Linked DNA regions of Schizosaccharomyces pombe. Changing the gene in region 3 together with the main gene of any one other region gives a genetic interaction. Each region holds a gene or a part of one and is shown on either strand. Other genes may lie near its edges. The genes, in order: nic1, gpd3, slx9 and nup97.

Region 1 (8,967 bases), on a different chromosome or scaffold from region 3:
TGGGGTAAATTAACCAAGGTAGTTGTAATTAGAAGGCTTTGTCCACCAAAAAGAATGCGGTACCAAAAGCTGAACTCACAATGAGCAGTGTAAGAGCACAATGCATGGGGGAACAATCGGAGGGTTGTGGTTTCATTAGGTGTACCCAATAAACGGAGGTCGGAAAAAATTTGAAAATTAATACTAGAGGGCTGTAATACAAAGCATTATTTGAATAAGCAGCGTTACGCATGTCATGGATTTGACACTTGTCATCTAACCAAACCTTAAGGCCAGCAGGTGATAGGTGATCCTTCCTTAGTTAGAGGTCTTGAGACAAAGCAAAAAAGTCTTTCTTTCTTTTCTTTAACTGATAGAAAATGACCTGGATAGGTAAAATCAGTGGATAATGCAAAAGTACGAACGGACTCCCCATTATACAGGAATGGACCAATCAACTGATCTCTTTCAGAAAAGGAAATGAATAGGGACGCAGACAGTCTACCATTTTGCTCAAAGATTTGAGGACAATAGTGCTTTAAGACAACCCACATTCCGAACTGCTGATCCCATTCTGCGGCATTTTAATGAGTAATGGCTGTACTTCCACCGGACTTTCGAATATTGTAAGAGAATACACATTGTCTGTTCGTTTGCATACATCAATTGACAATTATTCGAAGTTGAAGACTATCATTGTCCAACTTAACCTTCTCAAAAGAATTTGCCAAAGCCAAAAGAGCCATTTGAGCATCCGCTTCTACTCTAGTTAACTTAAATAGTGTTTAACAACTAGCAAGGATCAAACCTCCTATAATGCTTAAAAAACTTCGCATGCTGTTTAGTCTTGATTAAAAAAGGTAATTAACGAATGTTTAAATTGACGACGCTTACCCTTGTAGTGCTCGCCTCGCTACATTAAGATACACAGCAGTTTGTTAAGTGTTTAAAAGATTAATTACGAATGCAAATCTTACTAGGGCTCATTATCCTACAAATGAAAGGTTCTTTGCTTATTCGAATTTAAAAAAAAAACTTGAAGTTTATAAGGCTAAAGATTATAAAAATATTAATTGAGTGATTTTACAAGTACATAATCGGTTATTGGGAATATGCGGTAGACGACATTATAAATATTGCTTAGAGTCACTAAAACAGCAAAATACTTTCACATATTCTAAATTTAATCAAAAAGTCAATATACCTGACTGTTATTGTAAAAGATAAATTCAGAAAATAGTTGAATATATTGATCGTTAGAAAAATAGTGTGAAACAAATTTAATCTCGCATTTTTTTACCTAACAAATAGAGACGAAAGTGCATTTATCTAATTTACGTTTCAATATTGAAATTCTTACAGTCTACTCATTATTTCCTCATTAAAAGATCGACTTGGCACTGAAAACAAATGAACCGCCGATATCCTATATTGTTACAAAGCATATGCTTATTTGAAAATTTCACAAATTTTATTGGGTATCCAATCTATGTGGGCATAATTAAATGTACATAGCAATGTAAAAATCTCTCTTAAGTTATCTCAAAAAATGAAGCTTTTCCGAATATTGAAAATTGAAAACAAGATAGAAAATATAATTTTAAACAAATGGGGCCAGATATTGCCATTGTTTTGACCTAATCTTCAATGACGACACTAAACTTATTAAAAGAAGAAACTGAAATCCTCTTAATGAACTGGGGGATTACAAGACTTGAATCATTGGTCAAATAAATGATTCACCGACCATGCAGTAATGCGAAATATAAAGAACAATGTCGTCTTTCCTAAAACGATGAAGAAGGAAAGTAAAGATGTTCCAAATATTTACAACCATAGGAAGTAACCAAAAGAGGGTAGCCAGTGAAAAAGTTTTTATACTTTTTCGGGTAACCAAATTACTAATACAATAACATGCTTTTGGGTAGGAAAGCTAGTCATCATATTAATAAAAGTAAATGATGATAATGATAAACATAATCACAAAGAACAAACGATAACTTGTAAAATCAAGATTTGTATCGTTGTTTTATCACGCTGTATTTTGTTGAATTTTAATTCATTACGGAAACGTGCTTGATGACACTCATAACCGCATTTAACCTTTTGTTTAAGATATGGATACTGACAACCTCTAAAGATACTGGTTTATTTGTTTTCCCATTTTTCAAGCTAAAATCCTGAAAAATGTTTAGCTGTATGAATGGAAGTGAGGTTATGAATTTCAATTGACAAAATAGTCTCAATATATAGTCGGGTTTGTTTACATTTACTCATTTTTAGTCTTTATTCATGGACCCAATCGGAAAACGTTTGATGTTTACCTCTCAGTTAACAACCTATAATACACCGTTACGACACCACATCAAACTTTATGCATCGTTTATGCGGTGTGAGATCCAATTAACTTCTTCCTTTGTTTATTCATCTTTTAAATGCAAAGTTTATGCTTCAAAAGGCGATATTCAATTGGTTTGTTGTATCAATGCGATAAAATAATTGTTTGTTTACATTTTTGTAGACAAATCAGACGAATACGGTGTTGTATGACATTAGCGTTATGTAATTTATATGTAAGCTACGCAGTTTGGTATCTGATTTAAAGATACGTAGAACTGCGGTGAGTTTTCCTTGTGATCTATTATATTACAATACACAGGTTGTATAAGTAGCAACTGAGTATAGGTATTGTATTAACTGGGTTATAATGTTACCTATCACTAATATAGCTCATAACTGAACTGAGGAACGAGGTTCAGCAGTAGCTCTATTTATAGTATTCAGATAATATTGATCTTAATAGATTATCATTAAGATCAATCTCCATATCGTATCATACATGGTACGATATATAATTAGAACATGTGACATATAGTGATACTCAACGTAGTGTATCATAGCGTAGTGTAGTATTGCTGACAATAAACACGTTTAAGCATCACCGCCATATCGGTCGTTGCTGCTTACGAGATGAATCTGCGACACGTGAATTAAATATGACTTTGATAGGTTGCACTACAGCAGTATCCTTCATGATCGCTTTGATTTTACCCTTTGAAATCACCTGCTCATCTTTTCTACACTCTGCACTATTCAATTCTTTTACCATTGTGTTGAGGATAGGAACTTTGTGAGTCAACCAAGTTCGTTTCTCACAAACTCAAGCGATTTACTTCCTTTAAAGTAAACTACTACAGTGCGTTGCAGAACTGTTGTGATATTAGGTAAAATTGTTATTATTATTGGAATCCTAAGTGGATACAGGTTTATGTGAACGCAATCTATTCAAATTACGCGTTTATTTGTATGAACAGTATGTCTGAATATGTTAAACCTAGAAAAAATGAATTTCTAAGGAAGTTTGAGAATTTTTATTTCGAAATACCCTTTCTATCAAAGCTTCCACCAAAGGTTAGCGTGCCTATCTTTTCTTTGATATCGGTAAATATCGTAGTTTGGATAGTTGCGGCAATAGTCATCAGTTTAGTTAACAGATCGTTATTTCTCTCAGTTTTATTATCTTGGACACTTGGTTTAAGACACGCTCTCGATGCTGATCATATTACTGCAATTGACAACTTAACGCGCCGTTTATTATCAACAGACAAACCAATGTCAACAGTTGGAACTTGGTTCAGCATTGGTCATTCAACTGTAGTCCTTATAACTTGCATCGTAGTAGCAGCTACTTCCAGTAAGTTTGCAGATCGATGGAATAACTTTCAAACCATAGGAGGAATAATTGGAACTTCAGTTAGCATGGGACTATTACTTTTGTTGGCAATTGGAAATACCGTTTTACTAGTCCGGTTATCGTATTGGCTTTGGATGTATCGCAAATCTGGTGTCACTAAAGATGAAGGGGTCACCGGATTCTTAGCTCGAAAAATGCAGAGATTGTTTAGATTGGTTGACTCTCCGTGGAAGATTTATGTACTTGGTTTTGTTTTCGGATTGGGATTTGATACCAGTACTGAGGTTTCCTTGTTGGGTATCGCAACCTTGCAAGCCTTAAAAGGAACATCTATATGGGCAATCTTACTTTTCCCCATTGTATTTCTTGTTGGAATGTGCTTAGTTGATACCACAGATGGAGCATTAATGTATTATGCTTACTCATATTCTTCGGGTGAAACCAATCCTTATTTCTCTAGGCTTTATTACTCCATAATTTTAACATTTGTTTCGGTTATAGCAGCATTTACAATTGGTATCATTCAAATGCTTATGCTAATCATAAGTGTCCACCCAATGGAAAGTACATTTTGGAATGGCCTCAATAGATTATCTGATAATTACGAAATAGTCGGTGGATGTATATGCGGTGCCTTTGTTCTAGCAGGTTTGTTTGGTATTTCCATGCATAATTACTTTAAGAAAAAATTTACACCTCCAGTGCAAGTAGGAAATGACAGAGAGGACGAAGTTCTAGAGAAAAATAAAGAATTAGAAAACGTATCAAAAAACTCGATTTCTGTTCAAATTTCCGAAAGTGAAAAGGTGAGTTACGATACAGTGGATTCTAAGGTTTGAACGACTGGGAATTTCTGTTTCCTTTTTTTTTCTTCAGTATTCTCGATTTGTTCTCTTAACCTGTTGCTTGGGTTAAAAGTCTTTATGCCTTTATCATGATGAAATAGAAACTCGGTTCGATATTGATGATTTGAATAAGCAGACGAGCCACATACATTCGTTTGAGGTCATATAGGTTAAACAGTTGCTAGTAGCAATTTATTTGTGTGAAAAAAGAAAGGCAAGCAAAATGTGAAAAATTTATTCTTTACATATTTTACATGATAACAAAAAATCCTCCTTGGGCCTGGCTTTATGATTCGGGCAAAATACCAGGGCTGTATTTTTTTTAAAAAAATACTGTGTATCGGCATTAGCACTTTGCTTACTCAACTTTTGGAGGCTTGAAAATGCAGGTTTATTCAATATAACATACGGGTCAAATATATTACCCGATGTATTCTAGAATACTTTTATAAAATTCTTGACAAAGAATTGATTTCATTGGGTGATTCATTCATTGCTTGACTATTTGATTAGTAAACTGTCGAAGAAAAAGTTGAATTAGTTTCTTCCATTTCTGAGATTCGAACATTCTTCAAATTTTTTATATAAAATAAAAAATGAGAAATTCATGAGTTCGACTAATTTTGTGGGATTTGTTTCTGTTTTTTTAATTCATCAAATGTCTCTTTAAATCCATCAAAGGTATCATAGTAATCAGTGTAACCAAGCTTCCTGGCTTTGCTCATTGAGGATATAACGTTGTACGTCCTGCCGAACAAAAAATCACAAAACGCCCAAGTCCCAACTTCTAAAGCATGAGCATTGAGTTTTTCTCTTTCTGCGATTGTCCTCCAAGCGTCTTGGACTTTCTTTTGCTTGACCCATTGTTGAAGCGATATTTGGTTTATTATTTTACTATTGGGGGTATGTTTAATGCCGAGCTCTTTTTCGTACAGATTTATGGGAGAAGGTGTACTTAAAGTAACTTCTGTACTTAATGTAAAATCCGTTGCAAATTGGTTTTTTGGTACCTCGACCCCAAAATATTCGGCTATTTTAGGCCAAGTTCTTGACCAACTGTGAATATCTCCGTTTACAATGTTGAATTTCTCTTCACTGCATTCTGCTTTAAATGTCATCCATAATTGAAAATCAGCAATTAGCTTTGAATACGAGATATCATCGAAGCCGAGATAGAACTTTTCATTTCCTGGAAATCGGAACGGTTCATGAAGCTCCCTGCAAACCAAAGCATATAATGCTATAGTGAATGCTTCATTCATGTAGCTTCCTTTTGATACTCCGCAAATATCATTCGGCATAGCTATGGTGTAGTCCCATTTTTTACCGTTACTAAATTCTTTAAGAATATCTTCTTGAACGTAGTAAAAATTTGGAGTTCCACTAAATGTTTCAGGTACTCGTATGTCTGTCTCAATCATTGGCAAACGAACTTCTCCTAAATGTAATCCATAAAATTTTAGACCAGTGGTTAGAATTACGCGTCTCAAAGTTTGAATGGAAGTAAGTTCTAATGCTTGCACAAAGTTTCTCAACATGTTACCGTTAACTTCACACAACTTTTCTTCATTATTTTCTTCTTTATAAGCTGCAAAGTATGCATAATTTATTCCCTTAACCCCCTCGAGAGAAAACTTTTTTGCAATATCTTTGGGTTCTTCATTTAGCAGATCTATGGAATGATGCTTGATTTTTCTAGGGTATTCATCTTTCAACGAACGAGAAATACAGTGTATAGTTTTGCAATTATCATCCTCTGACAGTCTCTTAATAATAGCTGCACCATTTAATCCTGTTGCCCCAGTCACTATAGCCACGTAACCTTCTTCTGCCATTGTGTTTCTAACTTTGAATATCTTTTAAGAAATCTCGCATATATGAAATATATATATATATATATATATATATATATATATATAGCATTTATGCTTTAATTTATACCCAAATTTTATGATCTCATTCACTTTTGCTATATCACTAGTAACATCATCCATACTATAGACTTGTTCTAGTTTGTGAAATTCACAATAGCTAGTGAACACATGTCGGTGTGATAATAACAGTATGATGTTGCAAGTATGTATGGTCATATTTGATTGAGGTATGAAATACAAAAGGTATTTTAATAATGCTGACTATATGTAGGGACGCTGTTAGAGCTTAGCAAGCAAGTTGAATACAGAGAAATCGAGGCACCATTGCAGTGATGCCCCTTGCGACTGATGGAAAAACATAACAATGAATATTTATCTAATTGTTTTAGAACACCTGACTATAAACTGTTAACTTTATGGGAAGGTTGCTTGGAAGGTTGCTTGGTTGGATGGTTAAAAGTCATTTTTGAAACCTCACAAGCTGTTCGTAATTAGTTCAAAAACTAACAATCTAAAATAAAAAGGAAATAATAAATAAATCCAATAAAATCCAGCTACTAACAAAAACAATAAATTGTTCCACTATTAACTCTCGCTATTCTAGAAATTTAAGTGTCATTAATATTGGTCTTTAAAGCTCAAGTTGCTATTTACAACCGTCTCTTAGTCATCGAAATAAAACTAATGATCGATCTTTGAAGCCATCAATTATACGCTTTCATCAATGTCGAATTCATCAAGGCATTTAGCAGGTAGAGTAAAAAAAGAATCGTTACAAAAATGGATGGTTCATGTCTTGCGAAGAGATTGTGAAACTTTTATGGCAGCCTCCGCTGTAGATTTAGCACTCATTGGATTCACACCTGTTACAATTCTTCCATCTACCTGAGTGAAATCGGACATCGGGGTAGGCGGGTCAACGAACTCTGCACCGGCTTCTCTAAACAAGCTGTTCAGATCTTGCATGTTCCTTTCTCTCAAAGCACTTGATACACCCATTACAAGCTCTCCAGTACTATTGAAGGCGGTAACCTTCTTACCATATACGACGGAACGTCCTTCTGGTGACTTGGTGTCATCTACAAAAGGCAGCATAACTGGACCGTGGCAGACGGCAGCAAGTACACCATTGCTTGCATAAATTTGTTGAGCAAGCGTTTGCAAATTTGTGGCATGTGGTAGATCAAACATGGCTGCATGACCTCCTGCAATAAACATGATACAGAACTCTTTGTAGTTAATTTTATCGGCAGGCTTAATATCCTTCAGCGCATACCAAAACTCATTATCCTTGTTGTCAAAAGCATCCCTCTCCACTTCACCCAAGGCAGATTTTTTGATTGAATGGTCGTCGAATTTACATTTTCCTGTTTCTGAAGTTAGTTGAACTTCATAACCCGCTTCTCTGAAAACTTGATAGGGAATCAAAAGTTCCGCAAAGTGAACTCCAGTATTCATTCCATCTGGATAAAATGGTCCATAGTAACTGCTTGCCACGAGAAGTACTTTTCCTTCTGATGCCATGGTGTATAATGAATGGGTGATCTTTGCAGCTTCACCTCAATAAATAACAAATTTTAAAAAAACATCACTTAATTGCAAAAGCGGGATGAATTTCCATTACGACTACTCACGTAATCTATTTACCAGGTTCTTGGATTTCTATAGAAAGAGTGACGAGGGCATTGTGTCAATATGATGTTAAATTCATCTTAAAATCAGATGGATACGTTTGAATCTAAAGTGGTTTCGGCACAATTCTATTCTATTGTGTAGAAGGACATTGCGATCGCTACTGAGAAAATGCAAATCTCTTTGTATTGTTTAGTGTATAAGTTTCATCTTGATTTGAGAGATTTGCTTCAAGGACTTTTTGCTAGTTTCAATTATCATCATGATTTTCCTCATACGTTTTAGGATTGTGAGCGATGCGTAATTAAAATTTCGTAGTCTATGATTGTGAACGGAAATTTTTTAAAGTACTTTATTACTATATGAACATACCAAGCTAGAATGTTGCTCGTTTCAAAAGACAACTGTAAATTTGATCTATTCAATTGGAGTTTATTGAATATTCAGATAAAATAAGAGGTTTAAGTTTTTTTCATTTACACTCGCCAACCGCAACTTTAATTATATTTTTTCTTTTTTTGCTCTTCAGTATGCCACGTTATACTGTTTTACGTTTAGATTAGAGCTCGAATAATTTTATACCAACAACGCCTCTATATTCGAAATCATTAAAAAGATAAGATGTCAACTACTTACATTGCGCTATAATACACTGCGTTGCGTATCACTATATGTCATATGTTAAGATACTACTGCACCACACATTAGTGAAAAGCACAGATAAACTATCTGTCTATCTACATAGATAGCAACTATTAGAAAGATTATAAATAGAGCTACAATTGACCCTCGTTTCTCATTTCAGTTATTAGCTATTAGCTATATGGTCACCGATACTAATAGACTTCATATAACAATTAATATACATTGTTAGTTAAATATTGCATACCGCTATATTGTAGGTCGCAAATAAAACTCACCGCAGTTCTATGTATCGTTAAAC
Region 2 (7,059 bases), on a different chromosome or scaffold from region 3:
CTGCTATATCGATATAACTTGGAAATCCAATACGCTTAAAAATTTCTGATGTTTCATCAAGCCAAAAATGAGGTGGAGAATAAAAGTATTCTGTGATTGCTTTTATTACGGGACCAGAACCACTAATGCGGAAAATTCCCGGTACATGCAAAGCATTTAAAGATAGAAAATGTACGCATTGAGCAAAAATATGTGGGAGCAACAAAGAAGGAGGTGCACATTCAGGAGTGGGAAATGTAAATTTGCAAAGATTTGTGGGATCTGACGTTAAATCGCCGATAGGTTTACCAAATACGGAAGGATTATGAGCAATTGCATTATGTTGATGTGCATTACGATGAGGAAATTTAAAATAATTCGTTAAAGAACGACGATGCAAGCCAGTGGACTGACGTTTTGGAGAGTAAGTAAGAGAGGGGCGGCGGAGGATAGAGGACCAAGATCCCTTGGAAGGGCTTCGCTTTGGAGAATCTTGAGAGGCATTGAACTGTCTTTGAGAGCCAAATGAAGATGGTGGGTATTGGAGAGGTTCCAACGTATCTGATGAGGATAGTTGATTCGTAGCCGACAAGGAGGGAGAATCTTGTGAAGTTTGTAACTCGTGTGAAAGGGAGCTTAGATTTAGGGATGACCTCCCTAGAGGACCATTGTTTGAAGGTTTATCAAACCGAACTTCTGATACTGCGCTTTCTTGAAGGTAAAAGCTAACATGTTCTAGGGAGGACGGAGTATCTCTCTCTTCCAATAGTGTCGAGTGTATCAGCTTAGTAGGGGATCCACATGGAGTGAAATATTTATCAGTATGAGCATCTGGAGGTGAAGAACTTTTGGATTCATTAAATACGCTATCGTCGGAGTACAGAGATTGTTTAACCTCTTTTATCTGGGAAACGTACTCCTCGAGATTAATTTCGTGTATGTTGTAAGTCTGAGCTAGCTCACGAAAGCGTGACAAGCACGAATTTTGCTTAGTAAAGAAAGGAGCTTGCTGTCCCTCCAAATTGCTTGCAGATGATGAAATTGATGTGGAAAGGCCATTTTCCACTTTCGCTAACGATCCTCCCACCTCTAGCGACGGTTCTTCGAAACGTTTCTCATCGGTCTGCGCATTGCTAGACAAGACGACATCCTTGTGCTCTTTCAGGTCCCCAAGAGTTCCATTGTTGAGAGTCGAAGGATTTAAGGTCATACTTCTCCCAACAATTTCAAATTTTACTACACGAGGTTTTCGAGGCCCGTAAAAGCTATAAACCTCAATATATACTCTCCACTGATAGAATTTTGAAATAAATGTCGATTAGAGAGACGTTGGCTTTGGTAAGAACCGTTCTACATCCGTTACTTACTAAGAGGTTCAGCCAAGTAGCAGGCGTTGAAAAGTAGAGTACGAGCCGAAGCGAAAGATAGGTGAACAAGTAGTCACATATTGAACGAACCAAAAACTCATCTTCTACACGGACTATTGTAATTTAAGGAAAGACAGCAGCTTTCAAACTCCCATGGTGCAGTTACTAATGGAAGTATTCCACTGAGAAATCTGAGAAGCAATCTTATTATTAGTTCGTAAGGAATTCAAATGTTTGGCACCAAAGCAGATATTGTTACTATATGAATTGATAATTTAAATAACAATCTCATGCTTAAACACACTTTCAAGCTATTGGAACATGAGACACAAGTATAAACAGTTCCATAGATGAGCCTCGCAATCGAGCGATTGTTTCTCGCTTAGATATAACTGTATTTTTTATGAGGGTACATGTGACTAGCAATGCGGTATCAAAAAACCAAAGGACAAAATACAAAAAACAGGATTAGCTGTTATCCAGAAAAGAATCAAATGCAAGCATGAAATTTTTTGAATAATTTTCTGAAGCACAAACAGCTCTAAGTATCAAACATTAAGAGTTGCGAGAACCGCCTAAATGGAACACTCGCTTTCATCATCATACTTGATGGTCTGAGATTGATCTGGAAAGTGGAGTGAACGAACACTAAGAATGAAAATGCTAAATTTAAATTGCTATCTATTAATATATAATTTTTCTTATCGTTTGACTTACACTTCCATTCTAGAAACTTGCAAATAGGGGCAGTAAAGATAGGCAGCAGAGGCCCTCAAAAGGACTGAAAAATTATTTACTTCACCCAAAAAAGCGTGGGCCAAGTTTATGGAAACATCTTAGCGAATATCTATCATCAAGACGAAAACAATTATCTCAAATGCAAACGGTAATAGAATGCTAACAAGCAACTATGATAACTATATAATGCTTTATAAATCAGTCTACCTTTTTTACCTCCAATAAACTACCACATTTCAAATCAAAATTTTCATACACCACATACTTTACGGATTTTTTACACATTAAAAACAAGTGAAGAAAAAACAATTCATTTAAAATTATATCTTAATCTATTTCGTAGAAAGGTCGTCAGCTATAGAGATCGCCCTAGGAGCGCAATCAAAATGATAACGTGGAATAAAAGAGGAAAATCTCATACATGTCTATCATTATCGTAGCAAACCCCAGAAAAGGAAAAGGGGGAAAACAAGCATAAGAATAAAAAACCAAAAGTTCGCACATATGTAAGACCCCCCAAAACCGAACGCATGTTCAGTTGAATAGCTTGGAGTTTAACAACGGCTGATTAGAGAGATATAGATTGACGACGGAATAAATCGAAAGAAGCAATCTAATCCTTGGAAGCAGTGTAGGCAACCAAGTCAACAACACGGTGGGAGTAACCCCATTCGTTATCGTACCAAGAGACGAGCTTGACGAATTGAGGAGAAAGTTGGATACCGGCAGAGGCATCGAAGATGGAGGAGTGGTTGTCACCACAGAAGTCGGTGGAGACAACAGAGTCCTCGGTGTAACCCAACACACCCTTCATGGGACCCTCAGAGGCAGCCTTGATAGCAGCCTTGATGTCCTCGTAGTTGGTAGGCTTGGCCAACTTGACGGTCAAGTCAACAACGGAAACATCGGGGGTAGGGACACGGAAAGCCATACCGGTAAGCTTACCGTTAAGAGCGGGAATAACCTTACCGACGGCCTTGGCGGCACCAGTGGAGGAGGGGATGATGTTGGCGCTGGCGCCACGACCACCACGCCAGTCCTTCTTAGAGGGACCGTCAACGGTCTTTTGGGTGGCAGTGGTAGCGTGAACAGTGGTCATGAGACCCTCTTCAATACCGAAGGTGTCGTTGATGACCTTGGCAAGGGGAGCCAAACAGTTGGTGGTGCAAGAGGCGTTGGAGATAACCTTCTCGGAGGGGTTGAACTTCTCCAAGTTAACACCGACGACGAACATGGGAGCATCCTTGGAAGGAGCAGAGATGATGACACGCTTGGCACCACCCTTCAAGTGAGCAGAGGCAGTCTCCTTGGTAGTGAAGACACCAGTGGACTCAATAACGTACTCAGCACCAGAGGCAGACCACTTGATGTTGGCGGGGTCACGCTCGTTGTGGACATCGATGGAGTGACCGTCGATGACAAGCTTGCCACCCTTGGTCTCAACGGAGCCCTCAAAGCGACCGTGGGTAGAGTCGTACTTGAACATATATGCCATGTAGTCAAGATCGATGAAAGGATCGTTGACAGCGACAACTTGGATCTTGCCAGTGAGGATGGCGTTACGGAGGACGATACGGCCAATACGACCGAAACCGTTGATACCAACTTTAGGAATTGCCATTGTTATCTGAAAAGAGTTAGTAAGAAGAAGAGATCAAAGAGGAGAGAAAAAGGCAAAAAGAAGCGAGAGAGGGAAGAAAGCGAAGAGAAGAAGAAGAAGAAACGATGAGCGTCATTAAAAGAAAAGATATCATTATTGAGAGAAGAATAGAAAAGAAAGTATACTAAAAACAGCAGCTTTGTCGCTTTCGGCAAGTCTATTTTAATTTCTGACCAAACTGCCGTCAAGCGAAAAATAAAGCCTTCTTTACCGAAAGAAACGGAAACTAACGAATCTTATCACGACTTCGTTGTACAATTTCACCATACTGGATATGACATGTTTTCGTCATGTCAAGTAAAATCAGAGAGCCTCTTCTCTTGGCAATCTCACTGACCATTTTCATTTCAATTCATCGCTCAAAATCCATCTTTTTCAACTAAAAGAGAATATCAAAAGAAAATATCCCTTCCTTTTCCTCAATCTATTTTTCCCTCTTGGCAGGTGTTTGACACATGTCACATGTCTCACCAAGCCAATGCTTTGCCAATGCCACAGCGCATCACATACCTAATTAATTCGATTGCTATTTCTCAAAACCAAACAAGTACTATTGCTGATTTCTTGATACTACAAAGAAGCAGACTGGCCTACCACTCCTATTTATATTGTATGTGTTTACGCTAGAGTTGTCATGCCAACGACGGTATCGTAAGCGGCGATTTCCGTGTTCGGTACTTGGCAGATCGGATAATGAAATTAGCGGCCTTCTAGATAACTTCCCATGCGAATATTTTTGGCTCATAATCATACAACAATCGACGCATTGCGTTGACCTTTCCCTCGCCTCGCTTGACAGGAACGAGAGAGGCAAGGATGGAATGGCATGGAATGGATGAGTTGGGATGGCGGTGGAAAAGAAAAAGAAATGTAAACAATGAGTGTAGAGGAAAGAAGAAGAGAAGAGAATAGCATAGCATAGCATAGCATAGTAATCAAGAGGACAAGTGGGAGAAATGAGACAAGTGGTAAATCCAAGTCAACTGTGAAATTTCGAATGCAATTGGATTCAATCCATTTCTATTGATTCTATAAAAATGTTCATTTACTTCACTATTCATCGACTCACTTCACTAATAGTCATCGAGTATATCTGCTGTGTGTGTCAGTCTCGTCCCTTCCATCATCCATCAATCCGCCCTTGGAATGGCGTTTCCAATGCCTAGATGGAATGGAATGTTTAGAGGGTTGGCCCAGTTAGCTGTTGTTAGGCTGACGATTCTTGCATTGAATTGCATGATTTTGTTTGACCGTGCTAACAGGGCTATTAGCAAGGCTCATGGCATCCCAGCGGCTCCTCGGGAATAACGAGGTGCAAAGTCTCGTTAACATCATCTGTTTGTGAGGGAGGATGGAGGAGGGTAGGAGGGTAGGAGGGTAGCGAAAAGGTAGGAAGGGAGCGGGTTAGACGTGGAACATGAAGGAGAAGACATAGAATAACAAGGAGAAGATATAGAACAATTGTTTACAGTGCACAGTTTGGAAAAGAGATTCAGTTGGAAAAGGAAAATCGTTGATGTTGAGATTGTTATTGTATAAAGTTTTTGCTTTCTATTGACATCTCTCATTTACCTACTACCACTTTCCACTCCTTTTTCTCTCTCTCTCTCCCCCCCTACTTTATCGAGTTCAACAATACTCTGCTGTCCGACTATACTGAACTACGACGCTTTGCACTATGTTCCTCTGCGCTTGACTGCCCAGGACGTTCCTTCGGTTAATCGTAAGCTGTTTCTTCGGAAAAAATTGATCGGCAGTTGGGACAATTTGAGTTTCCGGGGCGGTTACAAGGTCTTGTGATGGTTGGCGGATTCGGATTGAAAGAACCCTAATTCACCTTCTAGAGAAACCTTATGTGAATGAGCTGACGAATCAACCATCGACGAGGATCCTTTCAAGGTCCGGGATGCGCTCATCCTCAAGTCCATACTGGTTCCGAGAGTTTCTATTGCGTCACTTTTTATGTAGGCGAAATTAATTTTGGCGGGCCACCGTCCGATAAGAAAGGAAAAGGAACCGAAGGAAGCAGGAGGAAGCAGCTGAAACAGCGCGAGACTCACATACAGAGAGTGAGGAATAACACAGTAATGCAACGTAAAAACAAAGCCATCAAAAAAGAACTTTGCTCTATGGAAACACACTGTAAGCAATGGAAACCCAGAATTGTTGTCTTCATAAAGGTCAATGAGTAACACAAAAAAATATGAGTTTTTAATCAATTGACTACTTCAATCCATTCTTTCTTCATTCAATTCCCATTCCCATTCCCTTCAAACGGCCGAACTAGTTTCTTCCTTGTCCTCCATAACGAGCAGTGTCAACAACGTGCACTATCCTAACGTAGAGTGTCATTCTTTCCAAAACATTTTAGCACATTGCGTTACCTCATGCATCACAGTAATGGGGTCCAGCTCGCTTGCTAATTTACCCATTCTCCTTGCAATCCACCCCGCACTACACTATGCAACATACCGTGTTTCACCGTCGTCTCTCCATATTCGCTTGAGTTCTTGGCGTTCTCGCAAACAAACTGGATGTCTCATAAAAGGAATTCCTCTTTTTCTTTTCTTTTTTTTTTTTGAATCTTTCTTACTCCCTTTGTCCTTCGCACACTTGATAAAACAGAGGAAATTGATTTTCAACAAAGCAATTGACTTTAAACTAAATTCACTTTGTTGTTCATTCACTTGTTATCCATCGATTTTGTTCGCTTCCTCGCTTCCAATTCAATTCATTGCACTCCCACCTACTGTATTTCTTCTCTTCTTCAAATTTTATTCCAGACTCTTTTTTTTTCGCATCATCCCAAGTCACATACTTTACAATTCATTTCGCATCGTTCTTTTTCTTTCGCACGCATCCCCCGCCATCCTACATACTATTTTCACATTTACTCTATCCATCCCAAATTTACCCTAAATTATCTACCACCATTCAAATCCGCTCTCTACCCAACAACCTCATTTACATGTGCCAATTCCTAAATCACATGTTTACCATGATATGTCTAACGGTATTCGAGGCGTGATTTCTAAAAAGTCATGCAATTCAACATAAATTTTCCCCAAAATTCATCGATAATCCTGTTACCTTTTTTTGTTATAAATATTCATTCCCTTTTCTCTTTTCTTTCACATTTGTCAACGCATTCTCTCACCGTTTCACTTGTCTCAATAGCTTTTTTACAAGAGCGTTCACTCCCATTTCACTTATTTCTTGTCTCCATTTTTTAATTCTCTGTAAATTTTATCCAATTCCTTTCTCAATTGCTTTTATATCGAGAAACGAATTAATTTCACCTGACTATATTGATTT
Region 3 (6,424 bases):
TTCTTTGTAGAGACCAACATGATTCTTGGCTGTGGTGGTATTTAAGATTTTACCTTGGTGTACCCTATTGCATTCATTTCCACAACGCACCTCTCGACATTCAAGCAGTAATGCTAATCTCTATCATCATAGAACCCTTTATTTGATAATTTTCATTATTTATGAGTCAAGTTTTATCATCATAATTAGAAGATCGGCTGTACAACTTGACTCGACATATTTTACACTGTTTGCGTCTCTCTTTGTAAAAATTCATCCATTGTATAATTGCATTCAAGTTTATTTTAATATATTATTTCAGATTTTCTCCCTTTTATTTAATATGGCGTTGATAGAGGATTTGAATCACTTTATCAATTATTTTCCTCTAGTATTGAGATTATTCTTCTTGGTCGTATTTGGTCTTTATTCTTTCACATTGATATTACATCTATTAGTGATAAATAGGGTCGACGTGTTCTCATTATTACATACTCCGTTGCCTGTCAATCGATCACAGCAAGCTAATGCTCCTCTATGGCAATTGTCATTCTCCCTATCTATATTAGGTACTCTACTTTTCGTAATAGCCGAATCCTTATATTTGATTTCTGGGTCTGATGAATTGGCATACGTCCCCGTTTTTATTTTTGGTGTTATTGTTTTTATGCCTGTACATAAGTTCTGGTTCTTCCAGAGAAAGGTGTTTACTCGACAGTGTCTAAGGATTTTGGGAGGAAGCTACAGACCTGATTACAAATTTCCCGATGTTATATTTTCTGATTTATTGACTTCTTACTCGAGGGTCATTGCTGATCTCTGGCTAGCTGGAGCAATCTTGATTTACGTAACTGACTCACCTAATAACTCTCATAGAAAACAATATGAAAATGAGGTTATTATGTCAATGATTGCAGCGTATCCATACGCTATCCGATTTCGTCAATGTTTGATTGAAAGAAGCTCTGCGGATAATTCATCAGATAAATTTTGGAGTACATTGAATTCTATCAAGTATTTCACTGCTTTTCCAGCGATATTCCTTGGGATTTTTGCAAAGAAAAGATTTAGCTTTCTATGGTTTTTATGGAATACCTCTTCAGCTATAAATTCAACTTATTCATTTTGGTGGGATGTTTCAATGGATTGGAGTCTTCCCTTTTTTAAGCAACCGTTATCAATCCAAAACTGGAAATTTGGGGTTCGGCGTTTATTCCCAACATTCACATTTGCAGTTGTAAGTGCGATTGATTTTGTTTTGCGAATGGCCTGGGTAGTTCGCGTTTTGCCTGAACATCAATCCGCGTTTTTTACCACCGACTTTGGGATCTTTATAATGCAATTTCTTGAAGTTTTCCGACGTTGTGTTTGGGTTTTTTTTCGGATAGAAGCCGAAGCTTCTAAATCATTGGCCTATGTTAACATAAGTGATCGTAGTGACATCCCGACAATACATCCAGATTAAATGGAAATGATTGAAGTTACTATTGTCACATATGTGTAGGTATTACATCTGCAACCTTTTCAAAAAATTTCTTTCTTTAGGGCGTATCAATTTACCGTTCTATTATTTGCTTGGCATATAATATGTTTTTCATTCTTTTATTGCGCTAATGGTTTAATATTGCAAGTACATTGTCATTTGCGGACTTGCAACACAATGGCACCGTCTCGCTGAATTGGGTTTACTTAAAGTAAGAAAGTTACTTAAAATTTTATTATGGATATATACTTTTATTTGTTACATGGGAATCGTAATGGGTTTGAACAAATTTCACCATCTTTTACTGATTAAGTTGTTGAGTCAAAAGTTTAAAACATGAATTTAATAATAAATAAATAAATCAAGCTCTCTTTTTGCATACTGAATAACAAACTAGATCAGTAGACTTTTTTATTGTAAAAACATAATCAGTAAGTATGAAAAGAACCTCCCAAAGAAAACCCCCCAAATTAATCATGCATTTATAGTGTACTCAAATTCCTTCCAAATTTACCTAGACATGAGCATGCTCTATTTATCTACTATCCAAAGAGTTTCCTAAGTGCTCCCGTACCGTTTCCAAAGGATTTGAAACGAATGAAGGGTGCTTCAATATGGCTTGGAACCTTTCGATTTCCTCAACGGTATTTCGTTTCATAGAACTCTTAGTTTGTTTAGAAGATAAACTATCCTTAATTACGGGCTTCAACCTGGAGTTAGCTACCGAAATATCAAGATCAATTTCTGGAAGTACTTCTCCAATCGAAGACACATTGACTTTCAGGTTTTCTCTGGCTTTACGGTTCCGGCGCTTACGAGCCGAAGCAGATATTTTTGGATTAGAAAATTTTTGCTGCCAGTTGAAATGACGGTCTTTCCGTTTATCTTTCTTTGTTTCTTTCAGCGGATCATTGTTGAGCACTTGACTATTCGAAGTAACGGTGGAAGATAACTCGACATTTGGAATACTAGCTTGTTGGCTAGGTTTACCAGAAGACGGTAAACGACTTGATGCTTTTGACGCTAGACTGACTCTTTTTTTTGCTTTTGGCTGTTGTCGTCAGCCAAACGTTTATCTATGGATGAACATACCATGCTAAAATAAAATTGATTGTGAATCAATCGATAAAAATCGTTTTAAATGTTAAATAGGATATATAACCAAAATAATATTTACGATTGGAGTGAAATATCTTGAATATTCGGTGTGCTTTCTGGTTTAAAAATTCACTACAACTATTGGCATCGGATTTAACGGACTGCCCTTGATTGCGTAAGTTGGTTTCATAATATTAGTATTTGAAATGAAAAACTTAACTTACATTAATTTCCATCTTATGTGCAATGAATTAAGAAACAACATTAATTAACAATTTTTATAAATTAAAGCAGTTTTAAATGAATGTCCAACATGGTTCCTAAAGTATTTGCAAACTAAACCCTATAGCCATTTTCCGAATATAAACATTGAAACTTGAAAAGAAAATACATACAAAAATAATTAGGTTAGAGTAACTGGAAGTTACATAAGAAGCCACACAGCCTAGACTTCCTAATCGATATAAAATACTATGAATTAATTACTGGAGCCAGCCAGGCTTGATGGAGCCTTAATTGAAGAAAAGGGAGATAGGGGAGCATTAGAAAACCTTTGAAGAACTTCCCTGTAAATAGAATTTTCAAAAGATTGTATGTCGATTGTTGAAAACGAGTAGCTTTCTTCATAAGCGTCTATAGAAATGCGATTTAAAAAGTTTCTTAATTGAGCGTCCGTTGTGTAAATGCCTAAAGAAGGGGTTCTTGTAGTTGAAGTAAGAATAGAATGTTCGGATTCAACACTGGATTTGTCGTCCTTCTCCGATGCTTGCTCCTGAAGTCGCTCAGAAACCTTTTGTACGAGGGATTTACGGCTAGTTTTTCCGCTCCAATAGACAGCATCTAGTGGACTAAGCATCACAACCCATTCATGTAGCGCAAATTCTTCAAGTTTGAGTGCAGTTAAAAAATCCAAAAGCCTGCATGCGTCTAATAATGTCTCTTTAGAAATGGCAACATTTGGCATACAGTAAGATTTAAAAATGATCAACAATTCGCTAACAACGATTGGCCATAATGGAAGCAAATGCTTCGAAGAGGTCCTTAAAGCTAGAGCTCTAATAAATAAAAACAGGTCCTTTTTTAATACTCCTTCAGGATCAGACGTTATAAGCCGTTTGACAAGGTCAATCAGAGGTGGAAGACTAGGCAGGAAAAAATCACGTGGAGAAGATAACATTAATATTGTGATCCGACATATGTTGCTCTGCCTTGCACCTAGTTGAGTATCCCGAGATGTAAATAAAGTAGTAACGCCTAAATCAGATTTTGTTATGAGATCATTTAATCTAGATATCTCTTGGTACAAAGCTGTGTATATTACTGGAGAAAGCTTTCTTAATTGATCAATATCGAACCTGAACAGTGAATTATCATTAAAAATTTCCCAAAAATCGCGCCTCCATGATTTACTCAAAAACGGATGTTTACTCAACACGAGCAATAAGTCCAAATGATAAGTGGTGAGTGATTCCGGAAATGTCCTAGCCTTTACTAAAGGAGTTATAAATACATTGACGATTGATGTAGCCCAAGCAACTAGTTTATCTTCTTCCTTAGAAAGCTCGGTTATTTTTGGAACAAACTCAGAACAGAAAAAGTCAAGCAAAGAGGGATCTAAGTATTTTACGAATAAATACACGGAGCTAGTTTTCTTTTGTGTTTTGGCAACCTCAAACGTGTCTGCAGCAGCTTTATGATACGCCAGAAAATCTACAGTTAGGTTTGGATCACTTGATTTTCCTGCATGAAATAAGACTGAGGACAATGTTTTCCCCATCAAATCAATAAAGTCTTTTTGCTGGCGAGATTCGCAATAAGTGTTCACGTTTTTTGCAACTTCCAGTAGCATTCGTAAACATACCAGCAAATAGTTTTTAAAGCTGTTTGAGGAAGAAATAATCTCCCGAACAAATTTTGAAATTTCCGTAAAAATCTTAGATGTGTTTTCGCCCTCCACTCTGGAGACGAAGTCAGACATACAGCATAAAATATCGAGTTGTGTAATCTTTGCTGTCAAACTAGAAGGCCCTGCATAACTAGCTATTCCTTCACGTGCAAAAAAAGAAGAAACTAATTGCTTAACAATGTACTGAGGTTCAGAATCACTAAGAAATGAAAATATATCCCATATACACTGGCAACACTCAACATTGTTCTCCAAATAGATTTGTACCAGCGTTTCTACGCATTCAAGAGGTTCACAGAAGTAAAACTCTTTTAATCCCGATAAGGATGCTTCTTTTAAAACCGATGAATCATTCATAAATACTTTTGACGTTTTATCAGCATATGAAGACCGAATATGCCATGAATATGATAAAAATAATGTTTGCAAAGCATCCTGCATAGTTAAAAGCATAGATAATCTCTTGTTGACATCGATGCTAACGCCTGACGACTCCGCTGCAAACACACCAGAAATGACATTTCCGATGATACCATTGGCTTCTAAATTACTTTTCTTGGGGCCGGGTGAATATGTGAATTCCAATAAGGCTGCTGAAACTAACTCGCTAAGCATTTTCAACTTAGCAATAAAAACATCCATGCACGCATAATCTTTTACTGGGTCAGGGTATTTTAGGTACATAGACTCGTGTTGGTCAAGAAATGAATGAACAAATTTGCACAAAGATTGAATGGGATTAACCATCAAAAGTTGAAGGTTTTGTAAAAGAAGAGGTAAAAGCTTCTTTATAGCATGTAGCCACTTTGGCGAAAGTCCTGGATCATCATTCAACATTCCAACCAAAACAAAATTGGACAACAGATAATGCTGTTCAGAGGAAAGATCTATAGTCCCATCTAATCGAGAGAGTAAAAATTCTAGCATTTGCAAAAGACTCAAAATAAAACTTCGATAAGTTGATGAAGGAGAACGCTCAACTTCCTGTACAAGCGCAAACAACCCAACGATTAGACTAGATTCAAATTTTAGAGGGTTTTCCCATATGGAGGTTATTTGGTAAAGCAATCGCAAAGCCCAGGTTTGAATAATATACACATCTGTGCTCGTTTTTATGTTTTGAGGAGTTAATACTATATCTAAGCACAGTTTGACTAAAAAAGCAAGAAATGAAGAGTAAGTTAAAGATTTTTTTTGAATCAAAAGGGCGTCAGCCCAAGTGACCAGGCATAGTTCCTCTACCTGCTTCGCACTCTTAAGTCTTCCTTCTTTAGGATGAAGATCTTGAAAATAAGAAATTATACGAGTGCAAAGTTTTAGAAAATATACACATCGACTAGCTTCACTATTTCTCTGGTCCTCATTTATATTATATCTGGTCATAGCCGTTTCCAGAGAATTGACACTGGTTAGATTGGGAGATAAACTCAATAAATTTTCAGTCATAAGTTCCAAGACACGTAATTGCAAAGAACTTGATGCATTAATCCAATTCATCATTGCTGTATAATCTCTCCCAGACTCATCTTCTAATAATGAATTTAATAAAAGTAATAGGGGCCTGTCAAAAACGAAATGAAACAGAGATTGTTGAGCTTGAAAGTTAGAAAACAGTAAAAAAAGAAAAGAAAACAAGAAAAACTTACCACTCTTCTTTAAAAGATTATAGAAAGGTGTATAGTATATCGTTGGAGCTCTCAGCTCAAGTTGCTCTTTCACAATGCACGTTGAAAAGTACGATTCAATTATTCTAGTTTGAAGTTTCTCTTGGAGGGTCCAAATAACAGATAAAAGCTCCTCTTCTCTGAAATAAGAAAACATACATAGCTCACACCAAATCTACATAGTCAGTACGTTGGATATCATAAGTACTTACCCTATCCAAAATCACATTGACGCAAGCTGTAGAGTTAATCAAAATCCTTGATGGCAATTGCTTTACAAAACTACCAAGGGTT
Region 4 (9,250 bases), on a different chromosome or scaffold from region 3:
AAGTTCTTTAAAGTGCTATAATTTAAAATCCCATTTGCACGTTCAAAGGTACGATGTTTTCACACATTGATCCTTTCGATATTTAGTAAAAAATAAGTTCATTAAGATAGTAAGAAAAGGTTTTGAATGCTCACAATTTTTCAATCCTTAGACACGAGCGCTTTGCATGTCGTAAATGTCTTTAATCGTTTCGAATCTGTATCTTCTTTTCAAGTACGAGAATATACGCAGGTCCAATTAAGAAAAGTTATATTTTAAATTTTTGAAAGAAATTAACAATCTCAATTTTCATCACCCTCTCTCTTATTTAACTTGTAAATTCATTTTGGACAATTGCTTGTAACAAGTTAACTGACAAACCGAATAAACCTAGAATTATAAGTATTACAAAATCACCTAATAAATTCTTCCTATTTGACGGGAACTACTGAAAAGGAAAGTGGCTCGCCATTGTTAAAGTAGTAATCGATGCCGCCTATATCCTTTCAGATACCTACCACCCACACAATACATACATTTACTGAACGAAACGAAAGTGTTTGATCTGTTTTAAAAGCGTTTTCAATTCATAAAGAGGGCATCTTCATTTCCCTTTATAATTACTAATTCGTGTTTCCTAAGCCTATTTCACTTGTAAACAATACTTGGGTTACCGGCCTCTCCAGTTGCTTGAGAGAAAACAATTTTAGTTTGAACAGATTAGCATTTTTTACTAATAAGGGTCTCTTTTTTATGTCTGTATGTTTTGCTAATATCTATCTACTTCAATCATTTCAGGTGTCTAACTAATCTTGATACTCCAGAAATCTGTAAACGCTTCCCTATCTAGCGCAATTAATAGCGTTACATTGGTGAAACAAGAAAACTTAAAGGAGAACCTTCAAAATGGCTCTGCTGTCTCAGTTGGGTCTTCGGAATCCTCAAACCACTCAATGAAGGAAATTAGTTTAGACTACTCATCTCCTAGTTTGCAGCAAACGGAAGAACAGGATCGGGAACTTAATTTTATAGATTCTTCTATGTTGCGTCCCACTCCTCCCCAGGAAAGCGATAATCGCTTGGCCGTTGAAAAACCTAACATTCAACCTCTTCAAGGTCATTCCCCTGTTCCATCCTTTATGTCAACTGCATCTACCAATATTTCATCCTCCAAAATAAATAATAATCAAACAGAATTTGAACAATTACGCGATTCCTACAAGTCTCACGGCGATTTAAATAGCGCCATTAACGATTCACGTATTCAATCAATCATTTTCGAGCTTAATCAACAATGTGAAAAAGAGTCAATTCCCGTTTCTAATATCGATTGGCTTCAATGGGCCAGTGTGCCTCTTTTTGCTTATGACCTTCCGCCTGATCCTTCTAATCCCAATGCTACATCCTCCTCTCCCCCTCCCTTGACACCGATTTTAGAACTAATTAAACAAAATAACTTTTGTATTCCATCTCCGTGTCGAAAACTGGTCTGGCAATCCCTTGTTTCCGCTGAACGTAATGAACTTCTAACACTTTACGCTACTTTAAGTACTACTAATAATTCTTTGGATTCTTCTATTCGGAAGATTATTCGTATGCAATCTTTCAGAGGACCTTTGGAGCCTTTTAAATATTCTTCTACTACAAGGCATAAAGTTTCAACTGAGTCTATATTTCACGTTTTGCATGCTTTTACTTTGTTTGATACAACTGTTGAGTATAACATTGAACCTTTGCTATGGTTAACTTGTGCTTTTCTATCGTATATGGCTCAAGGAAACGCCTTCCGTTCGCTAGTTTGTTTCATTCAAAGAGGTGGAATTCGTGAGTTTTTCATATCCCAATCCAGTTCTCTTGACGAAAGTCTTTTCGCTTTGGTTTGGGGTTGTTTGGGTGACTTGGCACCAAGTGTCGCTATCTCATTACAACGTATAAAAGTTAGTTCATTGTGTATACTATATCCATCATTAGCATGCTGCTTTGCCGATTCGTTGCAATTACCCGAAGCACTCCGCCTTATGGATTTAATTGCTATCTACGGCTTGGAAATGTTTGTGCGTCTTCTTGTTGCTATTTTTTTAAAGGATCGGGACAAGATTGTAAATATGGTTTCTCATGAACAGTGGGTTAAGTATTTACGCTCAGACGTTTTAGCTTCATATCGGCAGCCTCTGGTCCAAAAGTATACATTTTACACAAGAACTCCTGTCGACTTAAATGCATGGGTTGAAGATTCACTTGCTCTAAACATCGATACTACTCAGTTCCCATCCTATCTTTCATATCACGAAACCTCCGTATCTCACAACACCTATCGCCAAAATAACTTAGAGGAACTTAAAAATCAAAATGATTATTTAACCTCTCAGATAACTAATTTAGAGGAGGGAATGGTTATGTTGAATAAGGAAAACACTAAACTTTCTGAAGCACTTTCCAACCATCGAGTAACAAGAAGCGAAATGGAGGAGGCTACAGAAATTTTAAAAAATAATTCTGCTGATCTGAAAGCTCAATTAGAGAAACAGCCTCAGGAATTGGAAAATAGGCTTCTTCAAGAAATCTCAATCCTTAAGCAGCGCAATCAAAAATTTCTTAAAAACAATGCTACTTCAATTCAACAAATACAATATCTTGATGAGGAACTTGGAAAGACTTTAAAGCAGCTAAATGACCTCAAGGAAAAACATGCTCAGCTACAAACTAAATGGAAAAGTGTCTCTGAGATGTTTAGAAATTAGCACGATAAACCAAAGATCACTCTTTATTGCTATTATTATTAACATGAAGACTAGTGCATTCAACACTTTTTTAATGATGGATAATTAGGACTCAATGAATGTATAGGCATAAAAATTTAGTGAAGTCAAGTAAACATAGAATAAACAACCTTAAAAAAATAATCATGTCATTTCTATTTCGCAGCGATTTAACTGTTCAAGAATTTGAGAAGGCATACGATATTCTATCAGGAAACTGTACATGACAATTCTTCGTGCTTTTTGTCTATATAGGCGTAACTTATCCACGGATATAGCGTCATTTCCAAAAGATGAAGATTTTTGTTTAGCATAAAGTTCTTTAAGGCTGTTCATGGCTATTAAAACAATACCAGGTACGTTTTGTAATAAATTTTCATTGAGAAATCGAAATTCTTTTGCAAGTTTTCTCACAACAAAAGTTTCACAGTCTGAGTCAAGTGGGTCAAGGGGTAAAATTTCTAACTGCTGTAAAGACGATAAAGCTTGTTCATAGTCTTTATTGGTATATGCATTGAACGCCTCCACAGTCAATAAAAGCAAATTCGTCGTCTCGCGATTTTTGTAATCCACTTTGGCATACAAAGAAGGGTTTCTGTTGTATACATCCATCATACTTTTAGTTAAAGATATAAGTTTATCGGGAAAAACAAACTGGTCCAAAAACCTTAGCAATGCAGAGCCCAGCCGTCTATTTATAACTGTTACTGCCGCATCGTAATCCTCAGCTAAATGATATAAAAGAATGGCATCAGATAATAATCCCTGATCATCAGCCTGTTTAGCAGCAGTAAGAGTGATTTTTGATAAGTATTCTTTTACAGAAGAAAGACCAATCAAAGACCTGTGATTCTCCAAAAAGGAAGGAGTCCTCTCGCCATCACCACGTATATCGCCAAGAAGATTAACATAATCACGAGTAGAAAGTACCAAACTGCACAGAGATTTATGACACATCGAGATATATTTATCAATTTTGCACATTGGTATAAGATAACAGGCAGACATTACAGGACTTAATTCTTGACAAGTTTGGGTATAATCGATTAACAACCGATCGAATTCAAGGGAAGGCTTCCCAGATTTTGTTTCAACCAGCATTGATTGAATCTTTCCAGGTTCATTACTGACAACTGAGCTAGAAGGTGCAGTGCGCAACAGACCGTAGTATGCGCAAGTAATGGCAAAATGGACTGCATCGGTTGGAAAATAAGGATATAAAAAATTAATGGCACGCTCGTAAAGACCACAAAGCATTAACAAAAAGAAGTACATAACGGGATTAGATCCGTTGTTAGTAAAATAATCGGAGCCATACGAAAGCAAAATATGTTGAACATCTTCCAATGAAAAAAATTCGTGAGCGGAAACGCTTTTTTCAGTAAATTCACGTGACAAAATTAACTGGAACCAGATGTAATCTTCAGTGACAGAACAAATCGATGGACACGAAGTTTTAGAAAGGTCGCAGCGTCCAATTATTTTGTATACTGCATACTTATAAGGATCAGAAGATTCCTGTAGACGAATGGTTTGATTAAACTCAGAAAACAATTGACTCCGAAGTTGCCTTGGTAAAATACCATTCGGAGCCTTCGCATAAGCATTGATATAAAAAGGAAATTTCTCAGCCACCTTTTCAAAAAGATCTCTGTTTTCTTCAGTAAAGTCCACTGCTTCCTTTAAAAAACCACATCGTAATAGATAGAATATGAAAGCCCATATAGGAACATCTTGGATTATTTCTAAATCTGGATTAATCCAAACACCGTTCCTTAATAGACGAATGTTCAAATACGCTCGAATTTTGTTACGTATTGAAGGAACACCGCCTACCAAAGCAGCCTGGGGGGTTTTTGCAATTTCCTTATTCAAAACTTCAAAAAATTGAGCTTCAAGGAACTTACGGGAACAGTCAGAAATCCTTTGATAGAACCGAGAGTTAACCGAGCCATCCTCAGTCTCAATGTCAAAGGCTTTTGAGATTATGCCTTTATTGCCAAACACTGTCACAGAATCCTTATCCAATATAACAGAGGAAAGTAACTTCCAGGATTCGTAAAGGAGAAGAGACTTTGTATCATGAGCAAATTCTCTTGCAACCTCACAAAAAGAACTGACAAGCTTTGATTGAAATCCGTGCAGTGCTTCCTCCTCAAGACACATTTTTAAAGTGGAAGCAAACTTCTGCGAACGTTGCACCGAGAAAGGATAAAAGGATACTCTCTTTTTATTTTCAAGTAAAATATTATCAAAGGAGGGTCTGCTTTTTGCAGCTTTGGAACGCCATTCCTCTTCCAAATATTGATCGAACGCTATTTGGGTGTTTTGTACCAATGCTTCCAAAGAATTTAAAACATTTTTTTCTCGATGATACTTCAAAAACATATCTACATCGGTAAAGGACAACTCGAGAGTAGTGGGAGGTCTTACTTGTAGAGAGAGCGACTCAATTTTCTTCCATGTTTGTTCGGCATTAATACCGCTTCCAGCAAGCAAATAATGGCTATATCGTTCATTAGACAAATATATCTAATAGGATACAAATAACTTACGCTTTTGTATTACCATCCTTACTAGTAGGAACGGTGTTCAAGTAATGTTTTGCGCGTTGTTCAATCTCACCCAAATTGAACTGGATAAACGGAAGACATGGTTCCAACAACTCATTAGCAAGTTTACGAGACTTTTGATCTAAAAAAGGTATGCCTCTAGCTTCCTTTGGTGAATCGTCAGACGCAACCGTCATGGCGATGGTCAAGATGTAAACAAGCACAATGCGTTTGAGAGAATCTGTCTCGGTGAACTAAGGAAATTGAAGTCACCGAGTTCACCGAACCTTAATTGTTAAAAACAATATTTCATACTAAACAGGTCAACAGTAAAACGTTAAAGAGTATTTGAATCATCCTTGTACTCGGTTGGAATTACAAATTCTTATGCAAAAAGCTTTGCTTTACGTATACAGCAAGTGTGAAGTCAAGTCTGTCTATGTGGATGTGAAAGGGCTTAAAAAGTATAAAATTAAAAATTTTAAAATACTATTTTCAAACATCGATTGTTCTCGTTTAGCTCTTACTATCATTTAAAAGCCAATACATATGAATTCACAGAATCAGCAGTGAATTATTTGGGCCCTTAGGGACAGCAATAGGGAAATGATATTTAATATTGGTAAAAAGTGTTCAGAATTTAGAGAAATAACTGAATGGATGATATTTCAAACCCTCTTACTACTAACAGCCGTGGTCGCTCATACTCATACGTTTAATGACCCATAATTGAATATAGGATTAAGAAATCGTCAGAAATTTAAAAATAAATATATATAAACTAGCAAAAAATATTTTAGTATAGATAAGGCTACCATTGTCTCGTGGTGTGCGATTTCCCAATAAAGCTATTTGCTATAAGCGTTTTGCTTTTGTAGGTAAATATCAAAGCCATTAGTTAATTAAAGGAAATGGGACAGAATCTGGAAAATCAAGTATTGTGCCTCGGTTGACACTCGTAAACTAGAAGAGATTATGTTCAACTCGCATTACAATATCATATACATGAAACCAAATAGTCTCCTCCATTTTCAGCAGAAGAAATAATGAAATCGTTAAATATTTACATGCTGATTTCGTTAGAGATTTATTCAAAAACTGATTACTTACTCCTCAATTGCCCACATATGTGCCTCGTGTTCTTGTGCCTTTCTCTCATTTTGGCGCTGAAACCATTTATTTTCAAATCCATTACCACGAATAATTCCATCCCAACGATGGCCAGGTCGTATATTAAACCTATTGGGAGGCGCATATCCTTGATAAGTAGCTTTTGATGATACAGGTTTATTAGTGAGAAACGAAGCAGCTGGGTCATTCCAACGAGACCTTTCTTTCAATTCCTTATTGTATTCAGGATCGTCCTCATAACGCGCCAATGGCACCGTTTTTTGCCTTTCAAGTTCTTTTAGGTATTCTTTCTGTTGACGCACTTGAACCACACCTTGTTGTTGTTCCTTCTGTCTTCTAGCTTCTTCCTCTTTCTCTTTTAATTTTCTTTTGGCTTCTTTTCTTGCAAGAACCAGATCTATCCTTCTCCCTGTGGCATCTCTGTAAACAGTTTCGCGACTTTTGCGAAGCTCTTCCTCATCAAGATTGGATGATTTCTCTTCTCTCTTTCTTCTTTCTTCAGCTTTAAAGGTCACCTGCTTTCCAGTTAACAGACCGAACTGAGGAATTGATTCAGCATCATGAGAATCCTGTTGTTCAGATTCGACAACTTCATCATTCCCCACAGCTTTCCACAACTGAGCAGGTTTATTAGTAGTTTTTTCTATATTCTGATAAATAGCATCAATATCTCGATCTTTAAGGCTTTCATTTGCGACAATTGTAGGGGCATCATGCAAAGATGTGAGTTCTCTGTTGACTAGTGAAAATGAATTGTCATCGTCCCATCCAGCGACATCTTCATCCTGAATTTCTACAAAATCCTTCTCTTTCTTCTTTTTCTTTTTCCCTTGATCTTTTCGTAAATACTTTTTAGCAATATAGTCGGCGTTTGACATATGTGCTGAATGCATATTTTCTTACCTGAGCGCTTCTTAACTCGCTACCTTCCAACACCGGCGGAAGATCAGTATTGACATATTTTATCGGAGAACATGGATTCACAAGAGACAAAAGTTTTTGAAAATGTAAAGCAGGAAAATCCTGATGAGAAGAAACCCAAAGTTGAGGAGCCTGACTCCCAAAATAATGCTTCGACACAATCGCAGCAAAAATTTTTGGATTTCCAGCTTTCATGGTGTCCAGAGAGTGAAAGAAAAACAACTAAATACCATTTATTAAAATTTCACTCTAACAAAGCCATTGATCCTTCCAAATCCTTTGTGCCACCCATAAAAATGCAACGCAGAGACCCCAATGCTCCATCTTCGTCAAACGGAGAACAAAATGCAGAACAAGGAAGCTCCAGTAACGTGAACATCGCTTCAATCGCTCCTTACGGTGGCGCTCAAAACATGAAGCAGAATGCCTTTAAAAGGAAAACTCGCCAGGTCGTCAAAGTTGATCCACAGGCCCGCAGACTACAAGAGGAGGAGTTATCTCCTTGGATTATGGAAGATTTTGAAGGAAAAAACACATGGGTTAGTACGATGGAAGGCGGCCAATCGTCTGCATATGTATTGTTCATGTTCTCTGTAAGTTTTTATCCCATTTGAAGATGTTGGATGTTTATCATTCATCTTTTGATCATTTAAGATTTTTTATGCTTACTCTATAGGAAAATGGTTTTAAGGTGATTCCAACTGATAGATTTTATCGATTTAATCAACGTAACAATTTCCAAACGCTTTCAATTGATGAAGCGGAGGCAAAGGTCAGTCCTTATTTCCATCAGGTCTTGTCTAACCCATTTAGATGAATAAAAAAACTCCGATTCCTCGCTGGTTTATGAAAAAGGAGAGTGAAGAAAACTTAGCAGAGGCAGGCTCTGCTTCACCCATGTATAAACTTAAGACGGTTCCAAATGCACGTCCTGTAACGGGACCGAGAGCTAGTGGAAGTGATGATGAACTAGATTATGACGAGGAATTCGCTGACGATGAAGAAGCACCTATTATGGAAGGAAATGAAGAAGATAATAAGAAGTTGAAAGACAAGATTAAAAAGGAAATGCTAACTGCCAATTTGTTTGGTGAAGCTGATCAAGATGTCGACCTTGAAGAGGAGAATGATAGACAAATGTCGCGTGAAGGAAAAAAGCTGCAAAGATACTTAAAATTGCTTGAAAAGAATTTAGCTTATGAGAGTGATGAGGAAGATGAGGACCCTTATGCTTCCTCCCATGATGCGTCTAGTGAAGAAGAAGTTTTGCAAGAAGAAGAAGAATTGCAAAAGCGTGAAGAAAAACTAAAGTCTAGATTTTCTGCGAACGCTTCCAAAACTAATACACCAAGACCACTAGAACGAACGCCAAGCAGCGTATCTCCTGTCAAAGCTTCATCGCAACTACAATCACCTAATACTTCTATTCAAATAAGGCCTCAAGAACAACTTATTAACAAACCTGGATATATAATTCTCCGCTTATCAAGTGAAAAGTTATCACGGTTTGCCAATGACTTTCCCCGTATGGTCCCTAGCATGGGGTCTACAGAAACGAGTGTAGGAGATCAAGTGGAGGTTGTGGGAGATACTACAAATGTTCCAATTGATGGTATGCTAAAGTTTTACATTTACCAGAAAATTTATTAACGTGCTTTTAGATTCTAATCTGATTACGGAGGCAGAGGTAATGAAGGCTTTAAGAGCTGGTCCCATTTCTATTAAGGATCTAGTTCACCTGTTCCAACGCAAAATTAGAGCCGACAACAGAAATCGGTTGGGAATACAGAAGATCATTCGAAAGGTTGCTCGATTTGAGAACAAGCTACTCGTTTTAAAAAACTAGTTATGAATTATCTATGTAATAACGTTTATATATTAATGAACATTAAAGAAAACATTTGTTTT

The links.
Region 1: mutations in slx9 (region 3) and nic1 together harm fitness less than expected from each alone (positive genetic interaction), as found in Schizosaccharomyces pombe (one large-scale study listed by BioGRID).
Region 2: mutations in slx9 (region 3) and gpd3 together harm fitness more than expected from each alone (negative genetic interaction), as found in Schizosaccharomyces pombe (one large-scale study listed by BioGRID).
Region 4: mutations in slx9 (region 3) and nup97 together harm fitness more than expected from each alone (negative genetic interaction), as found in Schizosaccharomyces pombe (one large-scale study listed by BioGRID).

The regions. Positions count from the first base shown.
Region 1 is NC_003421.2:40,560-49,526, forward strand, and holds nic1 (plasma membrane NiCoT heavy metal ion transmembrane transporter Nic1), read left to right. Parts: upstream 1-2,983; 5' UTR 2,984-3,285; coding exon 3,286-4,512; 3' UTR 4,513-5,135; coding exon of another isoform or gene 5,136-6,353; 3' UTR 6,354-6,426; downstream 6,427-8,967. Other genes in the region: SPOM_SPCC757.02C (epimarase), read right to left, coding at 5,136-6,353; glyoxylase III Hsp3101, read right to left, coding at 7,182-7,916.
Region 2 is NC_003423.3:575,377-582,435, reverse strand, and holds gpd3 (glyceraldehyde 3-phosphate dehydrogenase Gpd3), read right to left. Parts: upstream 4,320-7,059; 5' UTR 4,255-4,319; intron 3,712-4,254; 5' UTR 3,706-3,711; coding exon 2,698-3,705; 3' UTR 2,380-2,697; downstream 1-2,379. Other genes in the region: Rho-type GTPase-activating protein Rga6, read right to left, coding at 1-1,189.
Region 3 is NC_003424.3:494,304-500,727, reverse strand, and holds slx9 (ribosome biogenesis protein), read right to left. Parts: upstream 2,672-6,424; 5' UTR 2,558-2,671; coding exon 2,555-2,557; exon of another isoform or gene 2,514-2,554; coding exon 1,998-2,513; 3' UTR 1,701-1,997; downstream 1-1,700. Other genes in the region: erd1 (EXS domain-containing protein), read left to right, coding at 323-1,444; dop1 (family protein DOPEY), read right to left, coding at 3,039-6,061, 6,113-6,305, 6,343-6,424.
Region 4 is NC_003421.2:2,161,269-2,170,518, reverse strand, and holds nup97 (nuclear pore complex component nup97), read right to left. Parts: upstream 5,499-9,250; 5' UTR 5,488-5,498; coding exon 5,294-5,487; exon of another isoform or gene 5,245-5,293; coding exon 2,883-5,244; 3' UTR 2,721-2,882; downstream 1-2,720. Other genes in the region: SPOM_SPCC1620.12C (GTPase-activating protein), read left to right, coding at 733-738, 804-2,720; protein Cwf26, read right to left, coding at 6,354-6,360, 6,401-7,299; transcription factor TFIIF complex alpha subunit Tfg1, read left to right, coding at 7,396-7,935, 8,019-8,114, 8,156-8,954, 9,004-9,188. UniProt on the Schizosaccharomyces pombe protein: Has a role in meiosis.